Linked DNA regions of Drosophila melanogaster. The protein of the gene in region 1 purifies or fractionates together with the protein of each later gene. This does not show direct contact. Each region holds a gene or a part of one and is shown in the gene's direction. Other genes may lie near its edges.

Region 1 (4,944 bases):
TGTCCGGCCGTGAGACCATCGCTCGTGTCACCGGAGGCATGAAGGTGAAGGCCGATCGTGATGAGGCTTCGCCCTACGCCGCTATGTTGGCCGCTCAGGTGAGTTGTGCGCTCTCCGGTCCAGTTGGAGCCCGTCTAACGGTTTCAATTCCCTCCAGGATGTGGCTGAGAAGTGCAAGACACTGGGCATTACTGCCCTGCATATTAAGCTGCGTGCCACCGGCGGCAACAAGACCAAGACCCCCGGACCCGGCGCCCAGTCCGCTCTGCGTGCTTTGGCCCGTTCGTCCATGAAGATTGGCCGCATCGAGGATGTGACGCCCATCCCATCGGACTCCACCCGCAGGAAGGGCGGTCGCCGTGGTCGTCGTCTGTAGATGGCAGTATCTGGAAAGCAGTAGTCTATGTTTGCGGTCGAAATACAATACTGCATTTGTGTATGCGATAAGAAAGCTTTTCTGTTCGTGTGCATAGGTGCACTGTAATAAACCAGGAAAATACGATGTAAATGACTACAAGACATTTTTGTGTGTGCATTGGGTTCGGTTTGGGGTCTGCAAGTGCTGCAATATTTGATTTATAAGGACATTGGCGAAATGTTTACAAAAATTGCACATTACAAGCCGAAGAGTTGCCACCCTGGCGTGCCCAACGCGGTGGTAGCCCGATTGCGCCATCAAAGTAACTATGCGTCGATAACTATCGCATTACCAGCTGTGTTGTTTTTGCCTTCTTTTTTTCGCATCCGGCGCACGCAATTGGTTGGTTTTCTGCTATTTCTCCCTTTTTTTGTTCAATTTTACTGCAATTGACTTATTTGGCGGCAAAAGCGAAAAGTTGCTGCTAAATATGATTCAGTGATTTAGCATAAAATGAAAAATTTTGCGGACGCCGTGAAAGTGGTGGCGAATTAATTTGTTTCTCCCCCATTTTTTTTTGTGTTGTTTTTTTTTTTGTAGTGATTTGAGCCGGCAAATAAACATGGTGTTTTTTTCTCTTTTAGTTGCTGATCGACGACCAGACTCTGCAGAATGGCTCCAAGAAAGGCTAAAGTTCAGAAGGAGGAGGTTCAGGTCCAGCTGGGACCCCAAGTTCGCGACGGCGAGATCGTGTTCGGAGTGGCTCACATCTACGCCAGCTTCAACGACACCTTCGTCCATGTCACGGATCTGTCCGGCCGTGAGACCATCGCTCGTGTCACCGGAGGCATGAAGGTGAAGGCCGATCGTGATGAGGCTTCGCCCTACGCCGCTATGTTGGCCGCTCAGGTGAGTTGTGCGCTCTCCGGTCCAGTTGGAGCCCGTCTAACGGTTTCAATTCCCTCCAGGATGTGGCTGAGAAGTGCAAGACACTGGGCATCACTGCCCTGCATATTAAGCTGCGTGCCACCGGCGGCAACAAGACCAAGACCCCCGGACCCGGCGCCCAGTCCGCTCTGCGTGCGTTGGCCCGTTCGTCCATGAAGATTGGCCGCATCGAGGATGTGACCCCTATCCCATCGGACTCTACCCGCAGGAAGGGCGGTCGCCGAGGTCGTCGTCTGTAGAAATGGATCGTGCCACCCGCTTTTGACGCTGCTTTATATTCTTATACTATTAAATACATGCATAAATGCAGTGGCAAGGGCATGTTTTTTGGGCTCATGTGTTTCATTGTGGCCAGTGGCAACGCGTCGTTAGGTGGTGCTATCGATAGGTGATGGTTGGGACCACCAATGGTATGTGCAGGTGTAGAGCGGTCACACTGGATGAAATTCAAGACCTATCGATATCCTGATATACACGCCAACGAAGACCGTGTGTGGATTCGTGGAGCAAATCGAAGTTGGCAGGATTAAAGGCATTCGCGAACGCAGAGGCAGCAGCTAAAGGGCCACCCATGCACCAAAGAAACAAACTAGCTGGCCCAGCGGTTCATTTATCTGCGACTAACAAGCTAAAATCGGCGTAATTGGCAAGTTCAATGCACGACTAATATATTTGGCCACACTTGCCAGTGTATGTTTGTTCGTGTGCGTGCCTGTTTGTGTGGTGTCGTCTCCGTACGTGTTTGTGTGTGTGTCCGCGACGAGTATGTGTGCGCACATATTCGTATATCTGCAAGACTCGCGGATGAAACAGCGTGAAAAGTGAGCAAAATATCGGGGAAAAACGGCACGGTACGGCCACAGAACGGAACGGTACGGTGCGATACGATATCGAGAAAAGGCCATCAGCCAGAGTACTCCTCGATCCGGAAACGGATAATGGGGATATAGATGATACAGCCAATAGCTCCCCGAAAGCCACAGCACACAATAGGTCGGTCGGTCGGTCGGTTGGTTGGGCGACGTCGCCGAGAGTTAAACATCAAAAATCAAACCCAGGAACCGACGGAGCTAAGTGTCAAGTGTTTGGTGTTGTGAAATTTTTCGTTTCCAGCTCTCCGTTCAGCGTTCAGCCAATTTGCCAACCTTTTCCCCTCTTTAATTTGTTATCCCCGGACACCACAAGAGTTTCGATCAAAATTTTCAATTGAACGCAACATCGCCATAAACAAAAACATAAAGGTAAAATTCGGCCACTACCCAAACAACAAAAAAATAAAATCATAAGAAAAAATCACGCAGTAACGTAGAAGAAGCAGCAGCCGAAGCCGAAAAAAGACGAAAAGAAAACTTGTTTGAAAAGGCCGAACCGAAAGAAGAAAAAGAGCAGCAGCAGCAGCACAGCGGCCAAGTTTGGAAGAATTTCAGAATTTCAGCGTGCTAGGAACGGAGCAGCGGACCGGCGACGTCACCAAATAAACGCCCATCACCATGGACGAGGATGACAACCTGTCCAATGCCGACATAAGCATAGATGACGAGGAGGTGGTGCGGGAGCAGACCCACCATCCGCCCATGCAAGAGGATCAGGAGCTGGATAACGAAGATGGGTCATCCGACGTGGATCTGTCTTCGGTGTACGTCGTGCCACCCATAGTCTCGGCACCATCGCCCGCATCAGTGCGCATCGCTGGTGGATCCACAATTGGTGGCGGAGGGGTCGCAGCTGGAGCAGTTCCAACAACCACCGATAACTCGCATTCCCCCTTCCACGATTGGGATTCCAGTGTGGCGGCCGCTGCTGCTCCACCGCCGCCACCGCCCAGGACAGGACCAACTACAACTACAAGCTCCGGCACAGCCGCGGAATCGGGAGCCGCGTCCGCCTTATCCGACGATGCCGGCGCCAAGCCAAGTTTCTTCTTTGGCGCCTCCTCGTTCAGTTTGCGCAGCCGCAAGGAGGTGGCCGCCCTGATCAACACGGAATGCTGCCGTGGCAGCCCCACACCCGATCTCGACTCCATAATGGATACCCTATTCAATCCGGGGACGCCCATCGACAATCTGGACAACATCGAGTGGATACGATGGCTCATTGCCGGCGGACGGACGCCGCAGGAGTTTGTTAAAATTGGTACGTCCCAATGTGTGCATATCGATAAGTGTGTTGCATTTTCTATCGCCAAACAGCTGATCGCAAGTCCGTTGCCCCTGAAACTCTGACCGAGCATGTGTGTGTTACCTGCGTTATGTGTGTGTGTGTCTGTGAAATGTAATGGTTGTAGGGCACGCAAAGAAAAGGTAGAGAGGAAGAGAGCATAAAAGCAAGGTGCAAGGCAGCGTGAAGAGTGCGAGTGCACCACCATGGCAACAGCAATCAAGCGCACTCTCTCGCACACACAGCACACTCACTACACACACATATGCACTGATTAGGGGAGTCAACTTTAGCCCAATTTAATCTCAACTGCTCATCTATTTGCAATGCTGTATTTGTGCATAATTTTCATCACTACTTATTACTTTTTGTGCCAGGCTGCGTATGTCGCCAAAGTTGCTTTTATCGTTTATGGTTGTTTGTCGCGTCTAGTCTTGTCTTGTCTTGTCCCACTTGTCAGCTCTGTCACACGCACACATACACACACTCGTGCAAACTGGCGGGCGGAGACGTACACGCACAGTGGAATGCAGCTTGCACCTTGTGGCTTTGTATCAGCTGTTTCGGTACGCCTTGCGTAATAAATGTTTCCGCAGCATCCGTCCCAAAACCACACGAACACGAATGTAGATGGTGCTTGATTATATGATGGCACCTTTTGTCACCGCTAGGTGCTCCTTTTTTTTTTTTGTGTTATATTTCTTTCACCTTTTTGTTTGTTACTCGTTGCAAGAACAATTGCAAAATTGCACTGGTGCGGAAAAAGTTGATTGACCGTCATTGTTGTTGATTTGACAAAAACACGCACAGTGGTCGCGAGGGGCGGATGTGATGTGGCCCACTGTAAGCTGTCAACGGCAATTGACCGAAAGACCGTTATGTTATTGGGTGGTGTGTATGTGTGTGCGTGCGTGCGTGTATGGGTGAGGGTGAGAGAGTGCACCTTTTTTCCGTTCCCATGTCATGTCACCTCCCCTTCCCTTCGCCACACCCTTGCTCCTCCATTCGGACCTTGTCCAAAAGTTCTCAGTTAGAAAGAGACTGCTGAGCCAAGATAGTGAGAGCGAGAGAGAGTTGCTAACTTTCCGTTGATCGATCGCTATTACAATTTTACAACATTGTCAATCAACTTTCCGCTGCACTGTGGTTGTTATTGGCCAATCCATTCGATTTCCTTCCGCATGCGGCGGCCGACAACGTTGACCTTTTTAGTCAACAAGGTCCGAGCGGAATACGTACATACATATGAACATACATATGTGTATAAACTACGAAACATAAAACAATCGTATGTACATAAATACATGTACATACGCCCCAGAACGCAGGCCGAAGACAAAAAATCAAAGAGTCACGCAACTAAAAGCAAGAAATTAACTAAGCAATGAGTGCATCATTTTATTTTTGGAACTCAAATCAAATCAATAGCAATAGCAAGGCAATGCGGTCGGTCAGAAAAAATCAGCTAGCCTCGACTGGTT
Region 2 (5,207 bases), on another chromosome or scaffold:
CAAAGTGAAGTAATTTGAAACCAGGCGGTTTATTATTTGCCTTTATTAGTTCATTCGCTTTTTGCGCTGATAACGTAATATTTTTTAAAGCCAGCAGGTTGCATGTTTTTTTACTCGTTCACTGACTTGTTGCGCTTTTCCCACTTAACTTTTCTTCAAAGAAGTTAAGCCAGGAGCCAATAAAATCTAGTCTGCAACTGTCTGTTGGTAATATGGCTGAAATAAAGCATTTTCGAAACGATATTTGCTATGCACCACAATTTATTTTGCCTATGCTGCACCTGTCGTTTGTGCAATCGAAAATTCTCAGGAAGGCAAAAATGATTTTAAACTGGCTCAACCAGCAATTCGAGCTTTTGCGCATGGTCAATGCGAAACCTTACAGTTTTGGCTGACACATTTCGCTTGATACCTTCATATCCGGTACTCATGGAGCATATCAGCATATAGCTTGCTACTACCAAAAACATTTTGCAGAATCACAAGCAAATCTGTCTTGGCTACAACTCCAGTAGCAGCGTGTAACTTTGGGTCACTGAACTACACTTTTGTTAAATGTCAGCATAAATGGCTAAAATGAAATACACCTTACAAGCTCCTCCTAACCAACTTGTTCATAATCCAAAAACTTCCTGTTAGAGTAGCGAATTCAAACAGTTGGCACTTTGTTTTTTCGAACTTGACATATGTAAGCCGATCGGCAAATTATCGCGAAAATGGGCCATTCGAATCGTAAAAGTGATGACCAAGCCGGAAGAGCACAGACATTATGGTAATCCAAGAACCCCCAATAAATGTAGCAAGAAACTGCCTCTTTATAATAACGAAAGAAGCTAAGCCTTAATTAAATCCCAACCCAGTGGGATGCGGATTTGGCCAGGTGAGGAGCTAACAGCCAACTGGCTTGTTAGCAAACAGTAAAACGAGCTAATGACGTACATCTGCTGAAAACCCTTGCACTTTCTCCTCCAGCCAGTTGTGATGAAGATGGCAGACTCCCATGCGTTTAGCACCATGAAGATACTCCGCTAATAGCCATTTAGCACATGGCTTAATCTTACCGTACAGTTTGTGTGCCATATGAATATGCTATGTTTGCTATAATTAGGTGCTTTGACATTTCGAGAAACAAGATCTGCGCAAATTATCATATTTGGCTGATCCCATCGATCTGAGCAGCTTTCAATGCCAATATAACGATATTGGCTCAATTGTTCTGGCAGCATCCGGCTGGAAATGGAAATGGTGGTATTCGATGGTGGTGTTCGATGGAAACACCTACCCATGATGGCAATGCCAATTTCGCGGATTGCCAGCCAGCCGGGTGCAACTGTCTCATTGTCCCAGTACAATGGCAACGGAATATGCATATGCGACGACTCCCTGCCCGCCTGACAGGTACAAAAATGCTGTCTGCCCCTTTGGTGAACTTCATTCATGCCCCGGATCGCAGCTCGGATTGCATTGCATTGCAGTGGATTGCAGTGGATTGCAGTGGAGTGGAGTGAGCGGCCAAAATCGCGGCAACATCGACTAAAACATTTTAATAAAAACTTACACAGCAACGGCTGCAGTGCAGCTGAAACAGAAAAGCAAACACAAAGCGAGCGACAAGCCGAGCCGAAGCCCCAAAACTGGTTCCTGGCCTGGCTGGCTAACTCTAAGCCCGATCCACGGCTCCAACTCCTATGAAAATGCAACATGGTGGTCTCTTACATATTTACCTTTGACTTAACAGACGCTGTTAGCCGCTCGAGATTCTCTGTCCGCGCAGCATACACATATACATATGTACATAGCTGTGTATGTACATGCACCTGCAGATCGTGGATCGCAGTACCTGTGCTCCACAGCCGAAGCCTTTCGCATGTGTGTGTGTGTGTGTGTGTGTGTGTTTGAGTATGGTGTGGTATCCATCAGCTGGCAAACGAGTAACCCCCGAAAAACCAGTTTTACCGCAAAGCGAGCGAATGCCAGCTCAATTCCAATACGTTCCACCTTGGATCGGGTAGCGCCCACTTGTTGCCGCTGCTGCGCGAGACAGGTAAAGCGAAACAGTACCGATCCAACCGCCGAGCCGACACCACGTACCACGTACTTTCGCGCAGTGTAGCACGACGAGTATGAGCTTGTGCCCCAACGCAGCGCTATTGCTATAAGGTGGCTGGCGCGATACCGGTTTTCGAGCTGGTATGAATATGCCCAAGAGCTAATTTTTTAAGAGTTATCTCTCAAGAAAATGTGTAAAGTTCAGAATGGTCCGTTTGTGGCGACGTGTGATGTGTGGATGTGTGAGGTGTGTCCGGTGGATCCAAGGCAACCTAAAGCTGTAGCCATAGAAGCCTGAAAAGGGCATACCACGCAGATATCTCGAAATAGCGCTCCGTTTAAATAACAAAGAAGCCCCGAGAGGCAAACAAAGCCTTCACGCCATCATTAAATCTAAAAATCATACCTTTGTACACACCACTTTAACCCCCGAGAGCAAGACTTTCTCTTGCCAATTTTTCAGTTTTTTTGTTTACCCAACACAACTCACAGTGGAGTGAAAACAGAAAACAAACGAAACCATCATCGTTTTGCCGAATATCAAAGGATAGAACACTAATGTGGAATGTGAACGTGATCGCCGTATTAAGCAAATCGCATTTATCGACCGGGATTTCTGCGGCATTTGCCAAGAACCAAGAAACAAGCAATAAAACAGCCAAAAAAAACAAAAAAAAAACGGCAAATGAGGTCACGTATGTCGAGATTTGTGTAAGAAACTTACACAGTCGTGTTCACTGTACAGGCATACGTAGATAGTCATCGACTTGCCATGCTACTTTTACTACATGCTACCAAACTCCCACGCGCCGCTTTGTTCGCCAGCTTTTCGCGAAACATTATGGCTTATAATTAATCCAAGAGGGCAACCTCCAAACAGTAATTAAAATTCACTTCAGTGCGGCAAAACTCACTTCCAAGCCGGTGATCCGGTGATCATCAACTTCGAAATGATCAACTTCGGATTCAATATGAATTTTATGACAGAGAAATACATAAAATAAGTATTACAACACCTTCAAATTTGTGTCGCGAGTGTTTTTAATCGAGTTTAACCCTGTTTTTTAATGCGCAGATACAACATCTATTGAATAATATAGTAAATCGAAATGTAATTGAGGACCAAGAATAACCTTTGTTAACGGCGTGTGACTCCATTTTTCACGTTGGATACTCAGCTGAAATACTTTGAGCTGCTTTAATATTTAATCTTTAGACCAAACGGTAAGTGCGGAGTATTATTAGTATTATTATTATTAAATTATTCAGCATCCAAAGGCGGGGAGAAGCAAAATGATGAAATAATGTTCTTTTCTCCGGGCGGCGGAGATTAATCTTCATTTGGCTAAATGGCTAGAAGCCATTTATAAAGCAGAAAACATAATCACCTAACCGTTTTTTCTTCAGCGGAAAGTCAGGTCGATTAATTTTATTGTCACCCAAGAATTTGCAGTTCAATGTCTTTGGCCATCATCTAAATTCAAAGATTTGTTTTTAATTATTCTAAACTCAACTTATTTTGGCCAATTAAGACAATCATAATGGTAGAATGTTTATGTTACTCAGCAGTTGCTTAAGTTTCGTTAGACGTGTTCTCGATAAAAAGGCGAATCATTAAAATTAATCATCAGGAAAAATGATTCTCAGCAAATTGGCTCTAAGATACTTGTCGAGTTCATTAGAACGATTAGAATGTTAAAGCACTTTGAGTCATTAAACTCGACAAATGGCCATTTTGAAGACGATCATATATTTACTCCCACAGGAGTCATAAATATATGGACAGCCAAAATGAATGGCATAGATTGAGATACTTTATATGCTGATAGAATTCGATATATATTATGAAACATCTCACGGATCCGTGAGGAGAAATACTTTGTATGGCCAAGAGCGCGTCCTCTGTCCAATAAAATTAAAATACAATAAAACACTCAGCGAATTAGCATAACAATCGCAGTTGGAGCTGACAGAACGATGGTGTATACATGAATGTATGTATCCAGGTGATCCAAGTGATCCGAGTGATCATCCAGGGGAGCCGAGTGGCCAGGTGGACCAGGGTATGCCGCCATTCGGTGCCCAAATGCTGGCGTTCCTTTCTTGTTTATTTAAGATTTGTGTGGCAACCATCGTTCGCATTCCAGCAGATTTGAGATTTAAGTTCGCTACGTATTGTACCACATTCAAAACTAGAAAATGTTGGCAAAAACAGCATCAATAAGCAACAGGTTTGCCGCATATCGAATCTGCACCCAGCAGCACACAACACACACAACACACACAACACACACAACACACACAGTACACAGGCATTCAAAGCGATACCTCGGCTTTCGTTTATTTTGCAAACCAGTTTGGCACATTCGGCTTTTTCTATAAGTTTCCGGTTGAACATAATCAGCAACTGACTTTCTGTGGTGGCCACCGCCGAACTCCTCCTCTGGCTGCTCCTGCTCCTCCTGCTCCTTCTCCGATCTCCTCCAGCTTCGCGCCTTTGTTTATGCGGGGGAAATGGAAAATGGCATTTTGTGTACCGTCCAGTGAAAGCGGAGGACTTGCAGCGCTTTTCGCGATTTTCCCGATTTTCTCGATTTCCTCGCAAATGGAAGCAGGAACGGCACGACGGAGCATTTAAGCCCCCATATCAATACCATGTGATATCTCGCACTTAAGTTACGCAATGGGCGATCGGGGCTTTTATGATTTCGGAGATAATTTCAGCAGCAGTTGCGTTTGCAGACAAGTTTGATTCCACTCGCGATTGCAGCACACTTTGGCGAAATTAAATAAATCGTTGGGAAATCATGGGTATTTTGATTGGTTTATTTGGCTAATTGCGTAAATCGAATTGCAATTGGCCATCGAAGACAATAGTTGTCAGTGGCGGCTAAGGATAAGAGATCCATCAGCTTGGATTTTAATTGTCAGCCAATAGTTGAAATTCAATAATTCGCTTTGTTCATTAGAGCGCGCACTTTATTCCCCTATTTTATGAGTTTCGGTTAACCAGCACAACGGAACCCGGCTGCTCTGGACAGTGCTATCTATATCCAATGGATGCGATCGAGGAGGGAGCGCGAAAACCAGAAGATTAACTCCGATCCGTTTCATTAAACAAACGATCCGAGTAACGGATACGATGCAAGTGGCTCCTG
Region 3 (5,322 bases), on another chromosome or scaffold:
AAAACTGCATGTAGTCCTCACGCGTGGCTGCCTCATACTCTTGCACCAGGCAGTCAACAGTTTCGCGAGATTCGTCCAGCTCATTGAGGTCGTCCTTGAAGATGTCCTCGCGTCGAAACTGGTCAAGAAAGGCGCCGCGCTTGCGAAGCTTGTCATACTGGTTGAGAGCTCGCTCGAAAAGCGAGCAAATGCTGGTGTGGTTGGCCAGCATCAGTCCGGACACTCGATGGTTGCTCTGCACGTAGGGCGATGAGCGGGAAAGGGCTACCTGGATAGAGGTGGGGCCCCAGGGAATGAACTGGGCCATCTTGCGGTCGCGGATGCGCTGCAGTGACTTGTGCACTTGAGTGGGATCCACCTCGCCCTGGATAATGTTTAGAATGGAGATGTAGCAGTGATGATTTGACTTGTCGGGACCAGTGGACACCATCATGTTCTTGGGCTGCAACAGACGCCGCATTACATCTAGAACAGTAGTCTTTCGCACATTAACCAGCTGCTGGGTATGGATATCCGAATCGCTAGTCAGCGGCGTGTAGCCTGTCATGAGAAAATGCAGCTGGGGCGTCGGGATTAAAGGAGCCGTCAGCCCAATGAGATTGTTGTTCATGTAGGATGGATACCTCAGCGTAGTGGTGCTGACGCTCATTATGGTGGAGACCAGGTTGTTGATCTGCGAAAAGCTGGGATTCTGAATGTGCAAGCGATCGCAGGCAATACGATTAAGAGCAGTGTTGTCCAGGACAACCACACTGTCCGCAGCCGTAGTCAAACGTTTCAGGGTGAGCATGGAGTTGTATGGCTGCACCACTACATCACTGATCTCGTCCTGATTGGGAAACACACTGAATGTTTGGATAAGTTTCTTGGGATAGCGGTCCGCCAGGCGCTCCATGATAAAGGAGCCCATTCCCGATCCCGTTCCGCCAGCAATCGAATGGCAAAGTATAAAGCCCTCCAACGAATCGCTTCCATCTGCCTCACGGTCAATGATGTCGAATACCTCTTCTTGCAGCTTTTCGCCCTGGCTATAGCCTGAGGCCCAGTTGTTGCCCGCACCGCCTCCGTGCTTGGATAGGTACACATTTTCCGGATTGTAGAGCTACGGGAGTTAATAGTAGGTTTGGCGCAAAAAATTAAAAGTTATTTAGAGAGGACTCACCTTGGAGTAGACCGAGCCCATTATGGTATTGATCACCCTCGGTTCCAAGTCCAAGAGCACCGCGCGGGGTATGTAGTGGTCGTCGTCCGCCTGGTAGAAGAACACATCCTTGCGGTCCAAGCCATCATTGGCAAAGTCCTCCAGCACGCCGCTAGGGGAGATGCCATGCTCCAGGCACAATCTTTTCCAGAACTCAAAGCCAACTGCGTTTAAACGATTTTAGCAATGCAGATGGTACTCGTCCTGATTTCAGAAACCTACTTTGATTGCCGCACTGCCCAAGCTGCAAAGTAATTATTTCACTTGGCATTGTGGTGTGTTGTTTCCGGCCAGAATCGTCAAGTGAAGTTTCGCGTTTAAGGTCGAATTAGTCGAAATAAAATAAAACACAACTAAAAGATCGTCGAATTATAACAAAATTTTTAAAAAATCCCACAGCGGGGACGTACTTTGTAATTTTAAGAAAGTCCAGTGTTGATAACACCGCAGCGTTTAATGGCGTCCTCATTTGAAAGGTGGCGCAGTGTGCCCTCTGTTATAAAATATATATGATTACTTAAGACCTTTATTGTGAATTAAATAAATAAAAATAAACATTACATTTTTCTACTTTGTATTTTGGAAAGGCAAAAAAGTGTTGGAAATCTAAGACTATGAGTTAGAAAGATCGAAACATGTCATGAATATCAATCTAATAGTTCAATACTAAGCTTAACTTGAATATAATTTTCTATAAGAAAGTTTTTCAATTAGGTTATTGAGCTCCACCCATTTTGTACTACTAATGACGTCGAACTATTTGTACTACTAGTGACGTCACAATGTGCAATATTTGCTCCACAGTCGTGTTTTTCCAAGGAAGGCACACAAATAGTGTTGTAAGCAGACCAAAGTCAAGCCGACCGGCTTGCAAAAATCGCGTTGCCCGCGCAGTTTTCTTTTTGTTGATATCGGGTGCTGAACCAAGCGACAGTGGCTCTGCAAAACAAGCAAAAGAAAAAGCTGGAAATCTGTGGAAGTAAATACAAGTCATTTTTGAGAACCTATCAGTCCGAGCAGTAGAACTCCATAATGCCGCGTGTCAAGGCCGTGAAAAAACAAGCAGAGGCGTTGGCATCTGAACCCACTGACCCCACTCCAAATGCCAATGGGAATGGAGTCGACGAAAACGCAGACTCTGCCGCTGAGGAACTCAAGGTGCCGGCAAAAGGAAAGCCGCGCGCGAGGAAAGCCACCAAGACGGCTGTATCTGCGGAAAACTCCGAGGAAGTCGAGCCACAAAAGGCGCCCACTGCAGCCGCGCGTGGCAAGAAGAAGCAGCCGAAGGATACAGACGAAAACGGCCAGATGGAGGTGGTGGCCAAGCCGAAGGGACGCGCCAAGAAGGCAACTGCAGAAGCAGAACCAGAACCCAAAGTCGATCTACCAGCTGGAAAGGCAACTAAGCCACGTGCCAAAAAAGAGCCCACTCCTGCTCCTGACGAAGTGACGTCTTCACCGCCTAAGGGACGCGCTAAGGCTGAGAAACCAACGAATGCCCAGGCCAAAGGACGGAAGCGAAAGGAGCTGCCGGCAGAAGCAAATGGAGGGGCCGAGGAAGCAGCAGAGCCGCCGAAACAACGGGCAAGAAAGGAAGCAGTACCAACGTTAAAGGAGCAAGCTGAACCAGGGACAATAAGCAAAGAGAAGGTGCAGAAAGCTGAGACAGCTGCCAAGCGGGCACGCGGAACCAAGCGTTTGGCAGATTCTGAGATCGCAGCTGCTCTCGATGAGCCGGAAGTGGATGAGGTGCCGCCAAAGGCTGCTAGCAAGCGAGCAAAGAAGGGAAAGATGGTTGAGCCATCGCCCGAGACTGTAGGAGATTTTCAATCAGTACAAGAAGAAGTGGAATCGCCTCCAAAAACTGCAGCTGCACCCAAGAAACGCGCCAAGAAAACAACCAATGGTGAGACTGCGGTAGAACTTGAGCCAAAGACCAAGGCAAAGCCCACTAAACAGCGCGCTAAGAAGGAAGGCAAGGAGCCAGCACCCGGGAAGAAGCAGAAGAAATCCGCCGATAAGGAAAACGGTGTAGTTGAAGAAGAAGCCAAGCCCTCTACTGAAACCAAGCCAGGTGGGAAACTGTCAAATCAATGTAAATGATGAAACCATGATTAACTATCTTTAATCCGCAGCTAAAGGACGGAAAAAGGCTCCAGTCAAGGCAGAGGATGTCGAAGATATTGAGGAGGCAGCAGAGGAAAGTAAACCAGGTGGGCACATTGTCAACAATAACTTTAATATCAATGCCACGCTAATCATATTCTATTTGCAGCTCGAGGCCGAAAAAAGGCGGCTGCGAAGGCTGAAGAACCCGATGTCGATGAGGAGAGTGGATCGAAAAGTATGTTAGCGGAGCAATCCGGCTGCGGTGGAGCTGCCGTATTAAAAAGCTTGCAAACCATGCTCAACTTTTGTTTTCCAGCCACCAAAAAAGCCAAGAAGGCCGAGACCAAAACCACTGTAACATTGGATAAAGACGCTTTTGCCTTGCCAGCAGACAAAGAATTCAACTTGAAAATCTGCAGCTGGAACGTGGCCGGTCTGAGGGCCTGGTTGAAAAAGGATGGTCTGCAGTTGATTGACCTCGAGGAACCAGACATTTTCTGCCTGCAGGTTAGCTATCAAAGCTATCCACACAAAATTGAAAAACACTAATAATTCCATATATTTTAAAGGAAACCAAGTGCGCAAACGATCAGTTGCCAGAGGAGGTGACCCGACTGCCGGGATATCATCCCTATTGGCTGTGCATGCCAGGAGGCTATGCCGGCGTCGCTATTTACAGCAAGATAATGCCCATACACGTGGAATACGGCATTGGCAATGAGGAGTTCGACGATGTCGGGCGCATGATTACGGCTGAGTACGAAAAGTTTTACTTGATCAATGTGTACGTGCCGAATTCAGGCCGAAAGCTGGTTAACTTGGAGCCCCGCATGCGCTGGGAAAAGCTCTTCCAGGCGTACGTGAAGAAACTGGACGCTCTAAAACCGGTGGTCATCTGCGGCGACATGAACGTTTCCCATATGCCCATTGATCTGGAAAACCCGAAGAATAACACCAAGAATGCCGGCTTCACCCAGGAGGAGCGTGACAAAATGACAGAGCTGCTGGGCCTCGGCTTTGTGGACACGTTTAGGCATTTATATCCCGATCGCAAGGGCGCCTACACCTTCTGGACATACATGGCCAATGCGCGAGCACGCAACGTTGGATGGCGTCTGGACTATTGTCTCGTCTCGGAGAGATTCGTGCCCAAGGTGGTGGAGCACGAGATACGCAGCCAATGCCTTGGAAGCGACCACTGCCCGATCACAATATTCTTCAATATATAAGATGTACACTTCGTTTGTGTTTAAATGTACTTCTGGATTCGTCATTATTACTTTGTTTCCTCTCCATATATGGTTTTTATTGTATTTGATTATCCATCGCTGTAGAAATTGTACGTCCCTATCTAATCATTTCAAAATGCCATTACTCTATTACATTCTGTCATAGATCCACCATCAAAATTCGTATTTTTTTAATAAAGTGAGCTACTGCCCCACGTTCGAACTTTGTGCTCAAATTATTGGCCAAAAACGGTTGGATTTAAATTTTTAAAAATCGCTAGAGGTGATATAACCGGTCGACATCGATAAATGTAATCGCTTGCCTATCGGGTCGAACCGAAGCAATAACTAATTCCCGCCAATTTTCGAGCAGAACTCGATTTATTTTGCGGGAAATATATACATACATTATTTTTGCGAAATGGTTTTAACACCAACGAAAGATGGGCCCGACCAGGAGAGCATGCCGTTGCCGGCCGACAATGGGGAGTCACCAAGTAAACAGCAGGCCCCTGTCAATCGGGATGAGATGCACTACTTGGATCTTCTGAGGCACATCATCGCAAATGGAGAGCAGCGGATGGACCGCACGGAGGTGGGCACTCTGTCCGTGTTCGGCAGTCAGATGCGCTTCGACATGCGGAACTCCTTTCCTTTGCTGACCACGAAGCGCGTCTTCTTCCGCGCGGTGGCCGAGGAGCTGCTGTGGTTCGTGGCGGGCAAGACGGACGCCAAGCTGCTGCAGGCGAAGAATGTGCACATCTGGGATGGGAACAGCTCCAG
Region 4 (6,161 bases), on another chromosome or scaffold:
TGAACACAAGTTTCCACAGGTCAATAGCCATCTCCAGAGAGAGGACGCGCTGATCGGGCTCCAGACCAAATCTGAAATTTGAGACGCTAATTAGGTACTGATCTTCCAAGCAGTAAGAACGGCATACCGGAATGTAAAGCGGTATAACTGCTTGAACATCTCGGCGTCCGCCTTGAGCATCTCGATTGTCTGCTCCAGCCGCACCCGGATACTGTCTATTGTGTCCGCCCTCATCTTATGCAGACCCTCAATGAACTCCACCTTGGTGAAGCGGCACATCTGCGAGGCATCCAGGCACCAGGCCAAGACGAGAATTGCGAACTCATCGGGCTGATAGTTGAGGTCATTGCATAGTCGCTCGATGCCGTCCGTGAGTATCATCTCCTCGTCGTCGGGATCTTTGTACACATCGAATAGTTTGCTCAGCGTTTGGTGCGATACCTCCATCGATTCCTGGACAGCTATTAGAATATAGAAAATCGAATGAGTATGCCGCCAAGGCAGTCGAATGAACGCTGACTCACCAGTTGTTATGATATCGCTCATGGTGGGCGCACTGCCATTAAGCAAACCTAAAGACTTAAAACTATTACGCTTAGTATCACAATTGTTTGCTTTTGCTGGCTTGAGTGGAGTTCGGCTAGAGAGCAGTTCATCGGTTTCTAGAGTGCATAAGCCGGAATAAGAGAGGTTTCTTAGACTTTGGATCACAATGCGGTTATTAACTATAGAATACCCACCTAAGGCGCAGCGCTCGTTGGCATTGGGATTAATGCCCACCGATTCGTAGCAATTTGCAAGGCTGGTGGCCGTCTGGCAGGCGTTGGAATTGGAATTGTGTGAATTGGGGGACGAGGCGTTCGTTGGCATCGATTGTTCGGCGGCAGACTGGAAGCATTTCAGGCAATTGCCCATAGTGCGGGCGTGCTTGGTGCACCACCAGGTCCTACTCCTCCCCCGTGCTCCGCCTGCAGTTGCTTGCTTAACGGGAGCACTCGATGGCTTCCAGTTTCGTTTTGGCTGAGACACTGTGATTTGTCAAGGGGCGTGCAATTGCAATTGAGGTCTGCTGGTCGTATAGCTTCTGGGAAATTTATTAACTATGCATTGGCACTGCGATTCCCTCCTCTGGCATATGGTAGTGGCTATTCCGATTCCGATTCCAAGTACGTCCTGTGCGAGTACAAACAAGTACGATTCCGATTCCGATTCTTTGTTGTCACTGCGATTGCTGTTGTTATTTTGGTGCCTCCTACGCAAACGCACACTCACGCGTATACACATACATGTGCAGGTTGCAACTGCAGCATTTGGTGCCACCAAATCGCGCTCGTCTCTCTCTATTGATGGTTTTCATTCACATTTTCAGTTCACCGTGCTCCAGCGCGTGTTTAACTACAATTTTTTACAATATTTTTAATTTGATTTATCTCGCTTTTTCACTTGTCTTGTTTTTTTCTGGCAATCGGACCAGGGCGGCACTAGTCAACCAGGGCTGCAGTGCTCTACGTTAGTTGATGCGATAGTCGTAGCAACTTCAGTCTGGCAACACCCTATCGTCGAAGAGAGTCACAGTAGGACATACAAGTTGATTCCGCACAGTAGTTCACACCTTAAATATTTTCGTACAAATTATTCTATATTCAAATACGATTATTGAACCAATACGTTCAATACAATGTTTTTATTAATTTATATTCTTTATATTACTTTATTGGTTAAGAAATTTAAAACAAAACATTAGCATACATAATTTTTCCCATTAAAATATTTAGTTGCCGTCTAAGCAGCATCTATCATTTTCTCGACCACTGTGCGTAATGTGAGCGCCGAGTTTGAGCAAAGCTAACAATTTCATTCAACAACATGCAGTCGGAGCGGTAGAAAGTGCTTCCGGGTAACGGCTTTCGGAACGTGCATATTCTACCGATCGCAGATGAAAACTTTCGGTTCGTTTGGCTAAAAAGAAAAGTGTCAAGCTGCCCGGAGTGGGAAAATCCAATTTGAAATCCTGCATTTGAAAAGTCGTCTTGAACCGGGACAACTAACTGGTAATAAGTGAGTGTGTGTACCCGTGGTAAATAAGTAAATGGTTGACTGTCTCGATTTTCGGTTGTTTTGGGCAATTCGAAAACCAGCCAACAAGGTTGAGTGAACTTGGTAGTTGGTCGTTGGTATGTAAGCCAAACTCCGTCGTGCGCAGTAAATGGGTAATGTTTTCTTGTGTGCGTGTGTCGTGGGCCTGTGATTCTTCGCGGCGGCTACACTTTTCTTTTTCTTTTTTGGATTATTAATTCGAAACGTGTGAACGTTAGTACAAGTGCTGGGAAAAAGGGCAATATGCTTAGGCTTAGGAATTTGGCTCATCTTCGGGCTTATTTTAATTGGCCAGCCCCACACAATAAGCACATTAAAAAGTGGAGTAAGACAAGAAGTACGAAAACCCCGTCTACATTTGGTACCAGTAACACCAAAACGGAAATCAGTCGATCTGATACATACATTGTACATATGTATATGCATATATAGGGATCCAAACCTAACATCACCACATCTAAAATGAGAAAACCGTAAACTAAAATGATTTATATCTTTTTTTACTCTAAATATAACAATACACACACCGTTCCAATCATTAAGTATACATTATTTCAGCGCTGAGCGGAAGATTCTTGGGTATGTTGAGCATATTTTCGAAGTAGCTGGACAGCTCTTCGAAATTAACTTCGTCGGGGCTTTGAGTCGGAGCTTCTGTGCCTCCATTAGAGAAAATATCATCACATTGACAGGTCAGGTAGACTGTATCGGGATCCGTTGGGATCGATTTAGCCAGATCCTGTAGTTTGTCCACCCTTGGGACCGTCAAGTTTATGGCGTTTCCGTAACCACAAATATTTTCACACTCGCTCATCATGGTTTTAAGATCGTAGGCATTGCCAGAAACCTTTCCAGTCGCAATCTTTGCCCAATTAGATTCCTTCTCTTCGTCGGTGTCTCGAATTTTGTGAGCCCAATCCACTCCTTCGGCACGAATTCTTTTAAAGGGATGTTCAATTATTGACTTTCGAAGAAGAAACTTTTGCTTCAGTGTATGCTTCGGAATTCGTAGATCTTCGAATTTGTTGGAATCCAAAGTTGCCTCTATTGCAGATTTATCGAAAGTTGTTGCTTCGATTGGATTGTCAGATATTATCATCTTACGCAGCTCGGAGGAGATTTTTTCTATAGACATGCTTTTTAATTGTAAAGAATTGTTGGCGCTTATGTGTGTGACCTAATTTTGAGAATCTTGAGATGTGTGATGGAAAGGAATGGCAAGTATAATGAACAGCCTACTCATCTCGCCTTGGATTCCTTTCAGATCGATTCAAGAATTTCCATCGCCAACCTGATTGAAAGATAACACAGACGAATATGTCATCGGATCGGTTTCACAAGTGGGTACATGCAATTAATTTGACTCTATCTTATCACCAATGGTGATGCACAAGAGACTCATTAACTTTCTGGTACAATCGTTTCCGTTTAGAGCCGCCAAAGATGGGCTGTTGGATGTGTTGGCAGCAGCCACACGGAAGGATACGAATGCCAAGGACAGTGATTCCATGACGCCGGTCATGTGGGCTGCCTTCGAGGGGCGTCTGGATGCACTGCGTCTGCTGTGCGGAAGGGGGTACGCATTCGTTTAAATGATAATTCTATATCCACTGAAGATAATCCTTTCCTCTCCCTTCAGTGGTGACCCTGACAAATGCGATCAGTTCGGAAACACAGCCTTGCACTTGGCCTCCGCCAAGGGTCATTTGCATTGCGTCGACTTCTTGGTGAAATTCGGAGTAAACATCTATGCCTTGGATATCGATAAGCACAGCGCCAAGGATCTGGCGGCTATTAATGGCAGGGACGAGATCCTGCGCTACTTGGATGTTGCCTTCACAAACTTTGAGGCCACTGAAAAGTAAGTTTATGAAATATCTGCCACTTGCTTGCATTTTTGTTTGCATAATTTATTTTTTGTATATATTAAAACTAATACTTCAACTAACAGAAAAAAAAGCAAGGCCCTGAAAGAATTGGCCGAGAAAAACTGCGAGAAACGTGTTAGGGAGTACATGAAGCGCCAGAATCAGCAGCAACAGCGCCAGGATCCGGAGTATTCGGATCTAAGCGCACCCAGTGGCTCCAGCAAGACCGGCAACATGCTGTCCACTCTGAAGCAGAAGATCTGGTCCAGCCAGGGCAATCTAAATAAGACACCAAGGGATACACCGCCTCCCACAAAGTTCAGCGATCTGGTTGGGAACGGTAGCAGCAGCAGCGGTGGCTCCACAATAGCCAGTCGAGCGGGAACGGTGCAAAAGAGACCGTCGCAGCTCCAAAAGCAGCACAGCAGCACATGTCCACACTCGAAGATATCCAGCGACACAGACGGTGGCTTCAAGGTGCGCGAGGTGGAGCCAGATGGAAAGCGAACCATTACATCGCTTACGGGTCTGCAGAGAGACTCCGAGGTGCTGTATGTGGGCACCTTTAGTTCCAACGAGGACAGTGTCGGCAAGCGCGGCAAGATCAGCGATGTTTTTGAGTGCATGGAGGCCGATGAGTTGGACCACAGCGATAACCGCAGTGGCTATAGCTCTACTTTAGCGCGTTCCTTCTCCCAACCGGATATTCTGGGGGATGGTCAGTTGACCCAGGAACTAAGCGAGGAAGTGACCCTCCAGAGACCCGTTGGACTCTTCGATAGACCCACCATGCTGGGCAGCATTGCCTTTCGTCGATCCGTAACTGCTGCTTTAAGTCAGCTTCAACTGCACACGGACACCAGTTCCACTTCCACGATGCGGAATGCGGGCAGCAATCCTCCAAAGACACGAAATGGCGGAGGAAAGGGTCGTTTATATTTGAACCTTTCGGATGATACGGACTCGGAGGGCGGCGGTCATGACATCTATAGCGATGATGACGACGACGACCGAGATGCCGGAGGAAGTGCCTTGCAGCGATTCCTGGCCGTTTGGGCCCTGGAAGAATACCTGCCAGTGTGAGTAACAAAACCAAATTTGTCTGGAATGTATGTGTATTCAACTCGTATCCTCCTTTACCATTTCAGATTTCAGAAGCAAGAGATCGACTTGGAGACTCTGATGCTGCTCACAGAATCGGACCTTAAGTCACTTGGCTTGCCACTGGGGCCATTCCGTAAACTCACCTTCGCCATTCAGGAGAGACGTAACGCCCTGGCCAATCCCGGACCCCTGGTAGACAGTCGACTGTAGTAGTTGGCCTAATCATTCTATTTTTTTTGTAATACTTCAACATGTTCAATTAGCCTAGTGTACATACTAAATTAAAGCCTAACAATTATCACTCCAGTTCGCTGTGTTAGCCCGACACCTGTTGCATCAGATAGAGATTGGCGTAGATTTTGTTCAGTGCCATCAACTCATCGTGGGTGCCGTGCTCCACTACCACGCCGCGTTTTAGCACACAGATGAGATCCGCATTCCGCACGGTGGTCAGACGATGCGCAATCGTCAGGCATGTGCGGCCTGATCTCGCCTCATCCAGCGCCTGTTGCACCACCTTCTCGCTCTCCAAGTCCAGCGCAGAGGTGGCCTCGTCCAGGATGAGTATCTTCGGGTTTCTAACCAGGGCTCGAGCGATGGCGATGCGCTGCTTCTGACCTCCAGAGAGCTGCGATGTCTTGCCCAGTCGGGTGTCGTAGCCTTGGGGCAAAGCACTTATAAAGTTGTGGATATTCGACTTCTTGGCCGCCTCAATAATCTCCTGCATGGACACATCGTCACGGAAATTGTTGCCATAAGCTATGTTCTCGGCAATGGTGCGATCGAAGAGCACGGGTTCCTGCGAGACCAGGCCCAGCTTGGAGCGCAGTGTGTCCAACGGGAATTCCGTGCTCGGCACTCCGCTCAGATTCACGGATCCCGATACGGGATCGTAGTAGCGAAGCAGCAGTTGCACGCAGGTGGACTTGCCGGAACCAGATGGACCCACCAGAGCAACCGTCGTCGATTTCTTGATGGTGAGATTTAGGCCCTGCAGAATGGGAGTGCCCTTCCTGGTGGGATATTCGAAGCCCACGTTTTCATAGACAATGTCTCCCTCGGATTTCTAAAAAAAAACAATCAAATTTGAGT

Evidence for each region.
Region 2: the proteins of Ubr3 (region 1) and Cad99C purify together in Drosophila melanogaster (affinity purification with western blotting; one study listed by BioGRID). This does not show direct contact.
Region 3: the proteins of Ubr3 (region 1) and Rrp1 purify together in Drosophila melanogaster (affinity purification with western blotting; one study listed by BioGRID). This does not show direct contact.
Region 4: the proteins of Ubr3 (region 1) and Sans purify together in Drosophila melanogaster (affinity purification with western blotting, with the first as the bait; one study listed by BioGRID). This does not show direct contact.

Annotation. Positions count from the first base shown.
Region 1 is NC_004354.4:7,934,173-7,939,116, forward strand, and holds the start of Ubr3 (Ubr3 ubiquitin ligase), read left to right. Parts: upstream 1-1,723; 5' UTR 1,724-2,796; coding exon 2,797-3,439; intron 3,440-4,944. Other genes in the region: RpS14a (ribosomal protein S14a), read left to right, coding at 1-98, 158-376; RpS14b (ribosomal protein S14b), read left to right, coding at 1,031-1,267, 1,327-1,545. UniProt on the Drosophila melanogaster protein: E3 ubiquitin-protein ligase which is a component of the N-end rule pathway. Recognizes and binds to proteins bearing specific N-terminal residues, leading to their ubiquitination and subsequent degradation.
Region 2 is NT_033777.3:29,839,601-29,844,807, forward strand, and holds the start of Cad99C (cadherin 99C), read left to right. Parts: upstream 1-2,056; 5' UTR 2,057-2,190; intron 2,191-3,124; exon of another isoform or gene 3,125-3,273; intron 3,274-5,207. UniProt on the Drosophila melanogaster protein: Cadherin that functions in epithelial morphogenesis and the intestine epithelial immune response. Essential for female fertility. Regulates the length and organization of apical microvilli in developing follicle cells and salivary glands.
Region 3 is NT_033779.5:2,969,209-2,974,530, reverse strand, and holds Rrp1 (recombination repair protein 1), read left to right. Parts: upstream 1-2,022; 5' UTR 2,023-2,233; coding exon 2,234-3,275; intron 3,276-3,336; coding exon 3,337-3,414; intron 3,415-3,476; coding exon 3,477-3,817; intron 3,818-3,879; coding exon 3,880-4,539; 3' UTR 4,540-4,758; downstream 4,759-5,322. Other genes in the region: gammaTub23C (gamma-Tubulin at 23C), read right to left, coding at 1-1,102, 1,163-1,365, 1,424-1,472; Ts (thymidylate synthase), read left to right, coding at 4,961-5,322. UniProt on the Drosophila melanogaster protein: Plays a role in the cellular response to oxidative stress by promoting DNA repair mechanisms such as base excision repair and possibly homologous recombination repair.
Region 4 is NT_033778.4:12,935,039-12,941,199, forward strand, and holds Sans (scaffold protein containing ankyrin repeats and SAM domain), read left to right. Parts: upstream 1-1,852; 5' UTR 1,853-2,051; exon of another isoform or gene 2,052-2,058; intron 2,059-2,577; exon of another isoform or gene 2,578-2,635; coding exon of another isoform or gene 2,636-3,232; exon of another isoform or gene 3,233-3,305; intron 3,306-3,361; 5' UTR 3,362-3,414; coding exon 3,415-3,437; intron 3,438-3,529; coding exon 3,530-3,673; intron 3,674-3,736; coding exon 3,737-3,958; intron 3,959-4,048; coding exon 4,049-5,044; intron 5,045-5,113; coding exon 5,114-5,279; 3' UTR 5,280-5,374; downstream 5,375-6,161. Other genes in the region: SCCRO3 (squamous cell carcinoma-related oncogene 3), read right to left, coding at 1-71, 128-461, 525-662, 741-915; CG30487 (uncharacterized protein), read right to left, coding at 2,636-3,232; Mdr49 (multi drug resistance 49), read right to left, coding at 5,386-6,135.